Xenopus tropicalis: one gene and its partners. The protein of the gene in region 1 purifies or fractionates together with the protein of each later gene. This does not show direct contact. Links are inferred from orthologs where the notes say so. Each region holds a gene or a part of one and is shown on either strand. Other genes may lie near its edges.

Region 1 (3,990 bases):
TTCGCCTGCATTTACCCTGGGCTGGTGCAGTTTCTTTCTAACAGGAGCACTGGCCAGGGGTTTCAGGTGAGCAATTACAATCACTGGGGAGTGCCTAACATTGGGCACCTCCTAGTGATTTGGCCTTTCCTTCTCCTTTAATGATAAACACCCGTCTCAGTGCAAACAGGGTGCATTTTCAAACCAGAATCTGCCCTGTGGGTACATTGACAGGTGGTTGCAATTAAAATGAATGGAAAAACTCTCTCCCAATGAAAAACAGCAGAAAATCTGTTGTGTGAAATAGTCATATTTAAAGTCCAGTGTAATATGTCAGTGCAATATATAAAGAACATTTACACAAGAAGCATGTATGTTTTTGGAGTGTGGGAGGAAGCCAGAGAAGCCAAACAAATCCTACCTTCTTTTAAGGTGCTAGTTGCCTTCTGTTTACTGCTGCTCTTTTCTGGTTCGTTCTCACGTTCTTTCACCGTCTTATCCTCCTTAACCTTTACAACATCATCACCCTTTTTGGGGTACTCATTTCTTTTTTCAGTCTTTGCTTCCTTCTTATCCTCTTTCTTCTGTGCTATTTCACTGACCTCATTTTTCTTCTCACTCTCTACAGCTTTTGGCTTTTGCTCCTCATTTTCATTTGGAATGTCTTTGCTCTGTGAGATGCCAACTGCGTCAGGTTGTTTAAAGGCTTCTACAGTGGAAGAAATATCATTGGAATCTTCTGTCTTTATATCAGGTTCTGTTTCTGCAACCAGCATATCAGGGATGGATTTTTCCACCTCTTGAGTTTCCTCTAAAGTACGATCCTTTTCTTCTGTAGCATCAAAACTTTGCTGAATTGTTCTTTTGCTCACTTTGTCACTGTTTTTATTGTTCGGAGTTTCTATGAAGGCACGAGCAGCAGTTGCTTCTTGATTGAGTGAACTGATTGTTTCCAAAATGGACATTGCATCACTTGCTACATTGGTGCTAGGTCCAACTGCTGGTAGAGAACCTTGAGCAGAAAGTGTAACAGATACTATTAGGAAACTTATTTTTTTTCTACTTTTAGAAATTTGTAAAATTTCAAATTAAATCATGGCTGGTTAAGAAAAAAAAAGGTGCAGATACTAATTTGATATAAAATACAGGTATGTGATCAGTTATCTGGAAACCCATTATCCAGAAAGGTCCAAAACACTGGAAGCTTATCTCCATTTTAATCAAATAATTCAACATTTTAAATTGTATTTCCTTTTTCTCTGTAATAAAATAGTACCCTGTACTTGATCTATATAGGAGACAAAATAATTGAAACATTAAATAAACCCATTTTTTTTTTAGGAGACAAAGCAGTGCCGTCTAACTTTTTGCATGTATGTATCTGTGTGCAGATTATTTCTCATATAGCACGACTTGATTCTATTAAAATTATAATGTAATACAATGAAATCTATAGAGCCACCAACTAGACTGGGGGGGGCCATAAAAACCCTTTGGAGGGCCACATCAGGCCCACAGGACTCTAGTTGGACAGCCCTGAATTAAAGTATGTAGATCTAAATTATGGAATGGTCTGGAAAACCCAGGTCTCGAGCATTCCATATAACAGGTCCTATACCTGTACTTACAGACATACACATACCAGGAACAGAGATGGAGGCTTCTGATCGCTCCTCGTTTTGTTCTGTATTTACATTTCCATCCTCTTTATTATTCATCATGGCCAAATATTCTTTAACAACTTTTTCCACCTGAGGTCTGAATAAGTGGTTTATCTTTGGGTCGACAACCTGTGAAATAATTCTGTCAATGCCAGACTCTAGCATTCCAGACCTGCCAAAGCACCAAATAAAAGAATTGTAAATAACAGAAGAATTGTTTTTTTCATGAAACTGAAAACAATAAAAATATTGCTAAGTAATGAAGTATACAAGAACAACCATCGAAAGTAACGATAGCTATATAACGTGATAAACTTGCTCATGTCAATGGGACATTTAACTTCCAGTTTGAGCACTGTATAAAAAGACTCTTGAGGAGCAAAGATCTTGCTGGCCTATGGGACACAATATAATGCAGCATGTAATCCATAGTTCTTCAACTTTGGTCTTATCATGTGTTGCCTTTAGAGAGAGAGACAAAAACACACACACACACACACACACACGTGTGCATAGCTACTGCCTACAAATAAATAACTAATAATTCAAACCAGTGTTTTCCACTGCACAGAAGCACACCACTTACTGAATGGTCTACTGGCCCTGGTTACTTTTCCATTGAAGTACCAGTGATACCCTGCACTCTCCCAAATGGGCCTTGGGACAGTACAGAGGATCACTGGGACTTTAGGAAAAATGTCAGAGCACTACCTAATGGAAAACACCTGGACCAGTGCACTTGTCAGCAAAAAAGGTGTGCCAGTCCTAGGTCTAAGGTACCAACCCCCATTAATTAACACTTTACCATTTAATTATCCATAGTGTATGCATGCATTATCTATCTAGTCAAGTACTCTGCATCTAAATGTGAGTGAGCAAATTTTCCCCCTGTTACTCCACATCAATCATCTTACCATAATTCCAAAAATATCCAGGAAAGCAAACTGTTGTGTACTATGAATTTAACCTAACTGACCTTCAGCCTGGGACAAGCATCTAAAGAGTTGGGTTCCTGTAGTGGGTCAGTCCTGGGGAACTTTTGCCTTATGGCTATTAAAATCTATTACTTACTTAAGCACCTGCTGCCTGATGTTGTTCCTCAGCTGGTTCTTGTTTAGATGAGGACTCCATGTGTGGCTTGCTAAGTGACTGGCGACAAAGTTATCAACTCGCTGACGCAAATTTTGATACGCTGGCTACAAAAAAAAAACACAACCGGTTTTAAAATGGAAAATCTGTTTATGTCGTTTATGCCGTTACACAGCTAATTATAAATTATGCACTTATTGAATGTTCTTAGCCCTTGAGCCAAACGACTCACAATAACGGAATGAAGGCGGTTATCCTAGCCCCAACGGGACTTTCAAACCTGCCCAATTGACATCTGCCCAATTTTCAGCAATTTTCTGTCTGGCTCATCTGAAGACCCAATACAGTGGTTGATAAGCTGCCAACTCCATTGTGTCCATTGGCAGATAGTGTTTCAGCTCATCAATTAATTTCTCTTCCTAACAGTCCTTCTTCACCTTTAACATTATCCATATATTTATTCATGTGTTCCTAGTAGTGGGTAAAGTGTTTTCACCCTATAGCACAGATTACCATAATTCCTTGTTCTTCTTTACACTCTTATATAGACTGCCATACAAACGCGCAACTTTTTAAAAATAAAGCACTTGTACACAGTACTGCCAGACAATGTAATGTCAGACAATCAGAGGAAGTCAGGGTCCAAAGGCTTAAGGTGGCCATCCACGGGCCAATTGTAGCTGCCGATATCAGTCCCTTGGACCGATTCGGCAGCTTATCGGCCAGTGTAGGGGCAGGAAAGAGGGGCATGCCCGACCGATATCTGGGCTGAAATTGGGCAGATATCGATTGGGCAGGTTAAAAGATTTAGTCGGATCTGGGACCGCATCGGCTCGTTGATGCGGTCCATGAACCGACTTGCACCCATTGCTCCCTACAGTTTTCCAGATATCGCCCAACCGTAGGTGGAGATATCAGGAGAAGATCCGCTTGCTTGGCGACCTCGCCAAGCGAGTAGATCTTAACGTGTATGGCCACCTTTATTCAAGTACCTGAGGTTGCTAGTTGAACAATAGTTGAAGAGGGTTTATAAAAAGCAATTCAGTGTTAATGAGGAATAATTCACTTAAGACAGGCAGTAACATGTCCTCAACTGCAGTCAAGGATGAAAGGTGATGGCTGAAGAGATATATTTAGACAGAACTTATTGTAATACTGACGTGTTTGTATGGACTTTCATAGGAACATCAGCATTCGTTTAAGAGTTGTGGCACGAAAATCCATATAGGCCAAAGTCCCCCAGAGCAACCCCCAGTCCAGT
Region 2 (4,424 bases), on another chromosome or scaffold:
TCTAAGCATACTTTTGGCCAGTCTCTTGCCCTGCCTGTCTCCCCAATGCCCCCCCCCCCCCCCCCCACTCTTCTCTGTCTTCTAGTTACACTCAGCCCCTTCCTTCAGCACAGTATCCCAGGGAACAGTGGGCCCCTGACAAGCCTGGGGCCCCCTTGGGGGCATTAGATCATTAAGGAAAGTCCACCCTGCACCAGCCAGCTTTGGATGAGCAGCAATTCGTTGGCTGTTGGGAATAGTAGTGAAGCAACAGCCGGGGGGCTGCAGTAGGGAAGTAACAGCCGGGGGGCTGCAGTAGGGAAGTAACAGCCGGGGGGCTGCAGTAGGGAAGTAACAGCCGGGGGGCTGCAGTAGGGAAGCAGAAGCCGGGGGGCTGCAGTAGGGAAGCAGAAGCCGGGGGGCTGCAGTAGGGAAGCAGAAGCCGGGGGGCTGCAGTAGGGAAGCAGAAGCCGGGGGGCTGCAGTAGGGAAGCAGAAGCCGGGGGCTGCAGTAGGGAAGCAGAAGCCGGGGGGCTGCAGTAGGGAAGCAACAGCCGGGGGGCTGCAGTAGGGAAGCAGAAGCCGGGGGGCTGCAGTAGGGAAGCAGAAGCCGGGGGGCTGCAGTAGGGAAGCAGAAGCCGGGGGGCTGCAGTAGGGAAGCAGAAGCCGGGGGGCTGCAGTAGGGAAGCAGAAGCCGGGGGGCTGCAGTAGGGAAAGCAGAAGCCGGGGGGGCTGCAGTAGGGAAGCAACAGCCGGGGGGCTGCAGTAGGGAAGCAACAGCCGGGGGGCTGCAGTAGGGAAGCAACAGCCGGGGGGCTGCAGTAGGGAAGTAACAGCCGGGGGGCTGCAGTAGGGAAGTAACAGCCGGGGGGCTGCAGTAGGGAAGCAGAAGCCGGGGGCTGCAGTAGGGAAGCAGAAGCCGGGGGGCTGCAGTAGGGAAGCAGAAGCCGGGGGGCTGCAGTAGGGAAGCAACAGCCGGGGGCTGCAGTAGGGAAGCAACAGCCGGGGGGCTGCAGTAGGGAAGCAACAGCCGGGGGGCTGCAGTAGGGAAGCAACAGCCGGGGGGCTGCAGTAGGGAAGCAACAGCCGGGGGGCTGCAGTAGGGAAGCAACAGCCGGGGGGCTGCAGTAGGGAAGCAACAGCCGGGGGGCTGCAGTAGGGAAGCAACAGCCGGGGGGCTGCAGTAGGGAAGTAACAGCCGGGGGGCTGCAGTAGGGAAGTAACAGCCGGGGGGCTGCAGTAGGGAAGTAACAGCCGGGGGGCTGCAGTAGGGAAGCAGAAGCCGGGGGGCTGCAGTAGGGAAGCAGAAGCCGGGGGGCTGCAGTAGGGAAGCAGAAGCCGGGGGGCTGCAGTAGGGAAGCAGAAGCCGGGGGGCTGCAGTAGGGAAGCAGAAGCCGGGGGGCTGCAGTAGGGAAGCAGAAGCCGGGGGGCTGCAGTAGGGAAGCAGAAGCCGGGGGCTGCAGTAGGGAAGCAGAAGCCGGGGGGCTGCAGTAGGGAAGCAGAAGCCGGGGGGCTGCAGTAGGGAAGCAGAAGCCGGGGGGCTGCAGTAGGGAAGCAGAAGCCGGGGGGCTGCAGTAGGGAAGTAACAGCCGGGGGGCTGCAGTAGGGAAGCAACAGCCGGGGGGCTGCAGTAGGGAAGCAGAAGCCGGGGGGCTGCAGTAGGGAAGTAACAGCCGGGGGGCTGCAGTAGGGAAGCAGAAGCCGGGGGGCTGCAGTAGGGAAGTAAAAGCCGGGGGGCTGCAGTAGGGAAGTAACAGCCGGGGGCTGCAGTAGGGAAGCAGAAGCCGGGGGGCTGCAGTAGGGAAGCAGAAGCCGGGGGGCTGCAGTAGGGAAGCAAAAGCCGGGGGGCTGCAGTAGGGAAGTAACAGCCGGGGGGCTGCAGTAGGGAAGTAACAGCCGGGGGGCTGCAGTAGGGAAGCAGAAGCCGGGGGGCTGCAGTAGGGAAGCAGAAGCCGGGGGGCTGCAGTAGGGAAGTAAAAGCCGGGGGGCTGCAGTAGGGAAGTAACAGCCGGGGGGCTGCAGTAGGGAAGTAACAGCCGGGGGGCTGCAGTAGGGAAGCAGAAGCCGGGGGGCTGCAGTAGGGAAGCAGAAGCCGGGGGGCTGCAGTAGGGAAGCAGAAGCCGGGGGGCTGCAGTAGGGAAGCAGAAGCCGGGGGGCTGCAGTAGGGAAGTAAAAGCCGGGGGGCTGCAGGTTGGCCCCAGCTGATGTACGAAATGAAAGTACCTCAGAACTGACAATGTATCATGTGGCCCTTTGTCCATTTACTCCTTCCCACCCCCAGGGGTCCCGGGATGCTGGGGGGCCGGATACCCTGTGTGCCCTACCCACTAAGCAGCCGCGCAGTGTATCCGTTCCCTGGGTGCCCCTGTGCCCCTCGCATCGCCAGGTTCCCATTCCGGGGCAGCCCCTGTGCCCCTGCCCTCAGCCCCTCACTCCCGGCCTCCCCCGCCATGGCCGCCGCTCGCCGTTACCTTCCACACTGTGTCTCGGTGTTTATTTCCGCTGCTGATTTCCCTGCTTCTCACCTGACTGACGCGCTGTGTCCCTAGCTGTCTCTCCCCCGGATCCCTCTCTCGCTGCCTCCCGGTGGCGCTGCCTTGCCTTCCGCTCTGCCGCTTTCGCCCCGGCCCTGCCCCCTTTGCCTCACACAGGCTTCCCCACCGACTATTTAATTCCTCTTGCCTTTTCTGCCTCTCCCGCCGTAAAGCGGTCTCGTTTTCTTCACAAACGCGCTGAGTAAAATCCTATGTCCGCACCGCGCAGAGTGGAATCTGCAGCCACTGAAAGCGCAGACTGGTTTCCTCACCACCACTTTCCGACGCGGCACTTTCAACACAAACACCATAAAATAAGCGAAGCCATTTTTTCCCCGGACGGAGCACGGCTTCTCACTTTGTAACCCACTAATAACATAAAAGCAGCAGGGGTGGGTTTTTATTTTCCCTTTTACTGATTAAGAAATGTGGAATCTGCCGACCGCTGAAGGAAAGCTGAGTGACGTAGTATAAGGAGGGAGGAAAGGCGGGATTATGTTATAGAAAGGAGCGCAGGAAAGAAAAGGATGCAGATCTATAGTCCGACTCTATGGTTACGGGAGGACGGTTACCAGCCTGGAGCTGCTATAGGCTAGAGAGAACACGTGGTGTGGGGTTTTGTGTTCAACCCGCGCTGCCCAAATCGCCATTGGCTCTAAGTCAGCGCCTCTCACAGTCTGGCCAAATCCCTGCCCACTGGTCATATGGTCTGCGAACTGGGGACATTGGGCGGCCACAGAGTAAAGGCTCGGTCACAGTCAGGGTTTGGATAGAATAGAGACATTGGGCAGCCACAGAGGGGAGACTGGGTCACAGTCAGGACTTGGGTAGAATAGTGACATTGGGCAGCCACAGAGGGGAGATTGGGTCACAATTCAGAATTTGGATAGAATAGTGACATTGGGCAGCCACAGAGGGGAGACTGGGTCACAGTCAGGACTTGGATAGAATAGTGACATTGGGCAGCCACAGAGGGGAGATTGGGTCACAGTCAGGACTTGGGTAGAATAGTGACATTGGGCAGCCACAGAGGGGAGACTGAGTCACAGTCAGGACTTGGGTAGAATAGTGACATTGGGCAGCCACAGAGGGGAGACTGGGTCACAGCCAGGACTTGGGTAGAATAGTGACATTGGGCAGCCACAGAGGGGAGACTGGGTCACAGTCAGGACTTGGGTAGAATAGTGACATCGGGCAGCCACAGAGGGGAGACTGGGTCACAGTCAGAACTTGGGTAGAATAGTGACATTGGGCAGCCACAGAGGGGAGACTGAGTCACAGTCAGGACTTGGGTAGAATAGTGACATTGGGCAGCCACAGAGGGGAGACTGGGTCACAGCCAGGACTTGGGTAGAATAGTGACATTGGGCAGCCACAGAGGGGAGACTGAGTCACAGTCAGGACTTGGGTAGAATAGTGACATTGGGCAGCCACAGAGGGGAGACTGGGTCACAGTCAGGACTTGGGTAGAATAGTGACATTGGGCAGCCACAGAGGGGAGACTGGGTCACAGTCAGGACTTGGGTACAATAGTGACATTGGGCAGCAACAGAGGGGATACTGGGTCACAGCCAGGACTTGGGTAGAATAGTGACATTGGGCAGCCACAGAGGGGAGACTGGGTCACAGTCAGGACTTGGGTACAATAGTGACATTGGGCAGCAACAGAGGGGAGACTGGGTCACAGCCAGGACTTGGGTAGAATAGTGACATTGGGCGGCCACAGAGGGGAGACTGGGTCACAATTCAGAATTTGGATAGAATAGTGACATTGTGCAGCCACAGAGGGGGGACTGGGTCACAGTCAGGGTTTGGATAGAATAGTGACATTGGGCAGCCACAGAGGGGAGACTGGGTCACAGTCAGGGTTTGGATAGAATAGTGACATTGGGCAGCCACAGAGGGGAGATTG
Region 3 (4,786 bases), on another chromosome or scaffold:
ACAATGCTGGGGGGCAGTGCCAGTGTGACACAGTATAACCCCCTGTACCCGTGGGGCCCATTAGTACAATGCTGGGGGGCAGTGCCAGTGTGACACAGTATAACCCCCTGTACCCGTGGGGCCCATTAGTACAATGCTGGGGGGGCAGTGCCAGTGTGACACAGTATAACCCCCTGTACCCGTGGGGCCCATTAGTACAATGCTGGGGGGCAGTGCCAGTGTGACACAGTATAACCCCCTGTACCCGTGGGGCCCATTAGTACAATGCTGGGGGGCAGTGCCAGTGTGACACAGTATAACCCCCTGTACCTGTGGGGCCCATTAGTACAATGCTGGGGGGGCAGTGCCAGTGTGACACAGTATAACCCCCTGTACCCGTGGGGCCCATTAGTACAATGCTGGGGGGCAGTGCCAGTGTGACACAGTATAACCCCCTGTACCTGTGAGGCCCATTAGTACAATGCTGGGGGGCAGTGCCAGTGTGACACAGTATAACCCCCTGTACCCGTGGGGCCCATTAGTACAATGCTGGGGGGGCAGTGCCAGTGTGACACAGTATAACCCCCTGTACCTGTGGGGCCCATTAGTACAATGCTGGGGGGCAGTGCCAGTGTGACACAGTATAACCCCCTGTACCCGTGGGGCCCATTAGTACAATGCTGGGGGGCAGTGCCAGTGTGACACAGTATAACCCCCTGTACCTGTGGGGCCCATTAGTACAATGCTGGGGGGCAGTGCCAGTGTGACACAGTATAACCCCCTGTACCCGTGGGGCCCATTAGTACAATGCTGGGGGGCAGTGCCAGTGTGACACAGTATAACCCCCTGTACCCGTGGGGCCCATTAGTACAATGCTGGGGGGCAGTGCCAGTGTGACACAGTATAACCCCCTGTACCCGTGGGGCCCATTAGTACAATGCTGGGGGGCAGTGCCAGTGTGACACAGTATAACCCCCTGTACCTGTGGGGCCCATTAGTACAATGCTGGGGGGCAGTGCCAGTGTGACACAGTATAACCCCCTGTACCCGTGGGGCCCATTAGTACAATGCTGGGGGGCAGTGCCAGTGTGACACAGTATAACCCCCTGTACCCGTGGGGCCCATTAGTACAATGCTGGGGGGCAGTGCCAGTGTGACACAGTATAACCCCCTGTACCCGTGGGGCCCATTAGTACAATGCTGGGGGGCAGTGCCAGTGTGACACAGTATAACCCCCTGTACCCGTGGGCCCATTAGTACAATGCTGGGGGGGCAGTGCCAGTGTGACACAGTATAACCCCCTGTACCCGTGGGGCCCATTAGTACAATGCTGGGGGGGCAGTGCCAGTGTGACACAGTATAACCCCCTGTACCTGTGGGGCCCATTAGTACAATGCTGGGGGGGCAGTGCCAGTGTGACACAGTATAACCCCTGTACCCGTGGGGCCCATTAGTACAATGCTGGGGGGCAGTGCCAGTGTGACACAGTATAACCCCCTGTACCCGTGGGGCCCATTAGTACAATGCTGGGGGGCAGTGCCAGTGTGACACAGTATAACCCCCTGTACCCGTGGGGCCCATTAGTACAATGCTGGGGGGGCAGTGCCAGTGTGACACAGTATAACCCCCTGTACCCGTGGGGCCCATTAGTACAATGCTGGGGGGCAGTGCCAGTGTGACACAGTATAACCCCCTGTACCTGTGGGGCCCATTAGTACAATGCTGGGGGGGCAGTGCCAGTGTGACACAGTATAACCCCCTGTACCCGTGGGGCCCATTAGTACAATGCTGGGGGCAGTGCCAGTGTGACACAGTATAACCCCCTGTACCCGTGGGGCCCATTAGTACAATGCTGGGGGGCAGTGCCAGTGTGACACAGTATAACCCCCTGTACCCGTGGGGCCCATTAGTACAATGCTGGGGGGCAGTGCCAGTGTGACACAGTATAACCCCCTGTACCCGTGGGGCCCATTAGTACAATGCTGGGGGGCAGTGCCAGTGTGACACAGTATAACCCCCTGTACCCGTGGGGCCCATTAGTACAATGCTGGGGGCAGTGCCAGTGTGACACAGTATAACCCCCTGTACCCGTGGGGCCCATTAGTACAATGCTGGGGGGCAGTGCCAGTGTGACACAGTATAACCCCCTGTACCCGTGGGGCCCATTAGTACAATGCTGGGGGGCAGTGCCAGTGTGACACAGTATAACCCCCTGTACCCGTGGGGCCCATTAGTACAATGCTGGGGGGGCAGTGCCAGTGTGACACAGTATAACCCCCTGTACCCGTGGGGCCCATTAGTACAATGCTGGGGGGGCAGTGCCAGTGTGACACAGTATAACCCCCTGTACCCGTGGGGCCCATTAGTACAATGCTGGGGGGGCAGTGCCAGTGTGACACAGTATAACCCCCTGTACCCGTGGGGCCCATTAGTACAATGCTGGGGGGCAGTGCCAGTGTGACACAGTATAACCCCCTGTACCCGTGGGGCCCATTAGTACAATGCTGGGGGGGCAGTGCCAGTGTGACACAGTATAACCCCCTGTACCCGTGGGGCCCATTAGTACAATGCTGGGGGGGCAGTGCCAGTGTGACACAGTATAACCCCCTGTACCTGTGGGGCCCATTAGTACAATACACACAGGGGGCGGGGCTACACACAAGGGGCGGGGATACACACAGGGGGCGGGGCTACACACACACACAGGGGATACACACAGGGTTAAGGCGCTGGATACAGCCAATAGCAATGTGAGGGGACTCCCCCCCCCACCCCGATACCCCCGCACCCCAGGGGACCCCCACAAACCCTTCCCGGGCCCCCCCCAAACCCACCCCCACACCATCCCCGGGTACAGCGCACTCAGCGCATCGGATAATATTGTCTCACCATCTCTCCTCCCGTAGCAACAACATCCACTTCCGCTTCCGGGTCCCTCTCCGTGACGCGCACACCCCGTGACCAGCGCTGCGGCCGGAAGTACCTGCGAGAGAGCGGGAAGTGGGGAACTGAGGGTTAATGTGTGTGTGGGGGCGGGGCCGGGGCGGCTCAGAGGGGATTGTGGGACACGGAGGGAAGGGGGAGGAGCTGAGAGTGAGAGGCTATTCCGTACAACATTGAGACGCTGTGGCCACGCCCCCCCTACACGCCCCTCCCACATTACTAGACTTGGCGGGTTTTGTGAAGTTTGAACACATTTCTGGGTATTTTTTTTAGCTACTGAAGGTGAAGTTGCCCTTTAACCTGCAAAACTCACTCCCCCAATGGGACCCATTTAGCTGATTAGTTACACTTGTACCTCAGTGAGGGGGGTATTCCCTTATCTAATTACATTTGGGGAACTGTGTATCTTTCCACAGGGAAATGAGGGGCTTTTGTGTAAGAATCTGAGAGCTGGGGGGGGGGGGGGTATGTTATACACGGGGCATTAGCAAAGCTGAGTCAGTAGCAGTAGCGCCAGTGGGGCGGGATATGGGCCCAACGCTGTTATTATTGCGCTTAGCAGCCCCCCCTCCCTCCCATTTAGCAGCCCCTTGTTATGTGCTTAATGGTTAGGGACCCCCCCCCCCCCCCCCCAGTAACTGGGGAAGTAAATCAGCTTTACTGGCAGCTTTAGAGCCGAAGCCATGAGTTTGCTTCATTACTGAATCCCAGCGGCTCTGTAAGTGTGTCTGTCACTGGGGAGCGTGTGAGTAATGCAGCCCCCCCCCCCATACTGTACTGTCTAAGGGAAACACTATGGCACCCCCTACCCATATGTATAAATACAAATATACAGAGAAGGAATGTTCTGGGCACACAATAAGCTGTACCCCCATACTGTACTGTCTAAGGGAAACACTATGGCACCCCCTACCCATATGTATAAATACAAATATACAGAGAGGGAATGTTCTGGGCACACAATAAGCTGTACCCCCATACTGTACTGTCTAAGGGAAACACTATGGCACCCCCTACCCATATGTATAAATACAAATATACAGAGAGGGAATGTTCTGGGCACACAATAAGCTGTACCCCCATACTGTACTGTCTAAGGGAAACACTATGGCACCCCCTACCCATATGTATAAATACAAATATACAGAGAGGGAATGTTCTGGGCACACAATAAGCTGTACCCCCATACTGTACTGTCTAAGGGAAACACTATGGCACCCCCTACCCATATGTATAAATACAAATATACAGAGAGGGAATGTTCTGGGCACACAATAAGCTGTACCCCCATACTGTACTGTCTAAGGGAAACACTATGGCACCCCCTACCCATATGTATAAATACAAATATACAGAGAGGGAATGTTCTGGGCACACAATAACCTGTACCCCCATACTGTACTGTCTAAGGGAAACACTATGGCACCCCCTACCCATATGTATAAATACAAATATACAGAGAGGGAATGTTCTGGGCACACAATAAGCTGTACCCCCATACTGTACTGTCTAAGGGAAACACTATGGCACCCCCTACCCATATGTATAAATACAAATATACAGAGAGGGAATGTTCTGGGCACACAATAAGCTGTACCCCCATACTGTACTGTCTAAGGGAAACACTATGGCACCCCCTACCCATATGTATAAATACAAATATACAGAGAGGGAATGTTCTGGGCACACAATAAGCTGTACCCCCATACTGTACTGTCTAAGGGAAACACTATGGCACCCCCTACCCATATGTATAAATACAAATATACAGAGAGGGAATGTTCTGGGCACACAATAAGCTGTACCCCCATACTGTACTGTCTAAGGGAAACACTATGGCACCCCCTACCCATATGTATAAATA

What was found. The genes of interacting proteins can lie anywhere in the genome.
Region 2: the proteins of bod1l1 (region 1) and setd1a purify together in Homo sapiens (affinity purification with mass spectrometry; 3 studies listed by BioGRID and IntAct, with this or other methods). This does not show direct contact. The link is inferred for Xenopus tropicalis from reciprocal best matches to the Homo sapiens genes BOD1L1 and SETD1A.
Region 3: the proteins of bod1l1 (region 1) and cxxc1 purify together in Homo sapiens (affinity purification with mass spectrometry; 5 studies listed by BioGRID and IntAct, counting the BioPlex papers as one, with this or other methods). This does not show direct contact. The link is inferred for Xenopus tropicalis from reciprocal best matches to the Homo sapiens genes BOD1L1 and CXXC1.

Annotation. Positions count from the first base shown.
Region 1 is NC_030677.2:27,542,053-27,546,042, forward strand, and holds part of bod1l1 (biorientation of chromosomes in cell division protein 1-like 1), read right to left. Parts: intron 2,837-3,990; coding exon 2,712-2,836; intron 1,813-2,711; coding exon 1,622-1,812; intron 992-1,621; coding exon 401-991; intron 1-400. UniProt on the Homo sapiens protein: Component of the fork protection machinery required to protect stalled/damaged replication forks from uncontrolled DNA2-dependent resection.
Region 2 is NC_030685.2:5,885,359-5,889,782, forward strand, and holds the start of setd1a (histone-lysine N-methyltransferase SETD1A), read right to left. Parts: upstream 2,991-4,424; 5' UTR 2,824-2,990; coding exon 2,785-2,823; exon of another isoform or gene 2,661-2,784; intron 2,655-2,660; exon of another isoform or gene 2,450-2,654; intron 1-2,449. UniProt on the Homo sapiens protein: Histone methyltransferase that catalyzes methyl group transfer from S-adenosyl-L-methionine to the epsilon-amino group of 'Lys-4' of histone H3 (H3K4) via a non-processive mechanism.
Region 3 is NC_030684.2:1,147,534-1,152,319, reverse strand, and holds the start of cxxc1 (CXXC-type zinc finger protein 1), read right to left. Parts: upstream 2,991-4,786; 5' UTR 2,872-2,990; coding exon 2,869-2,871; intron 1-2,868. UniProt on the Homo sapiens protein: Transcriptional activator that exhibits a unique DNA binding specificity for CpG unmethylated motifs with a preference for CpGG.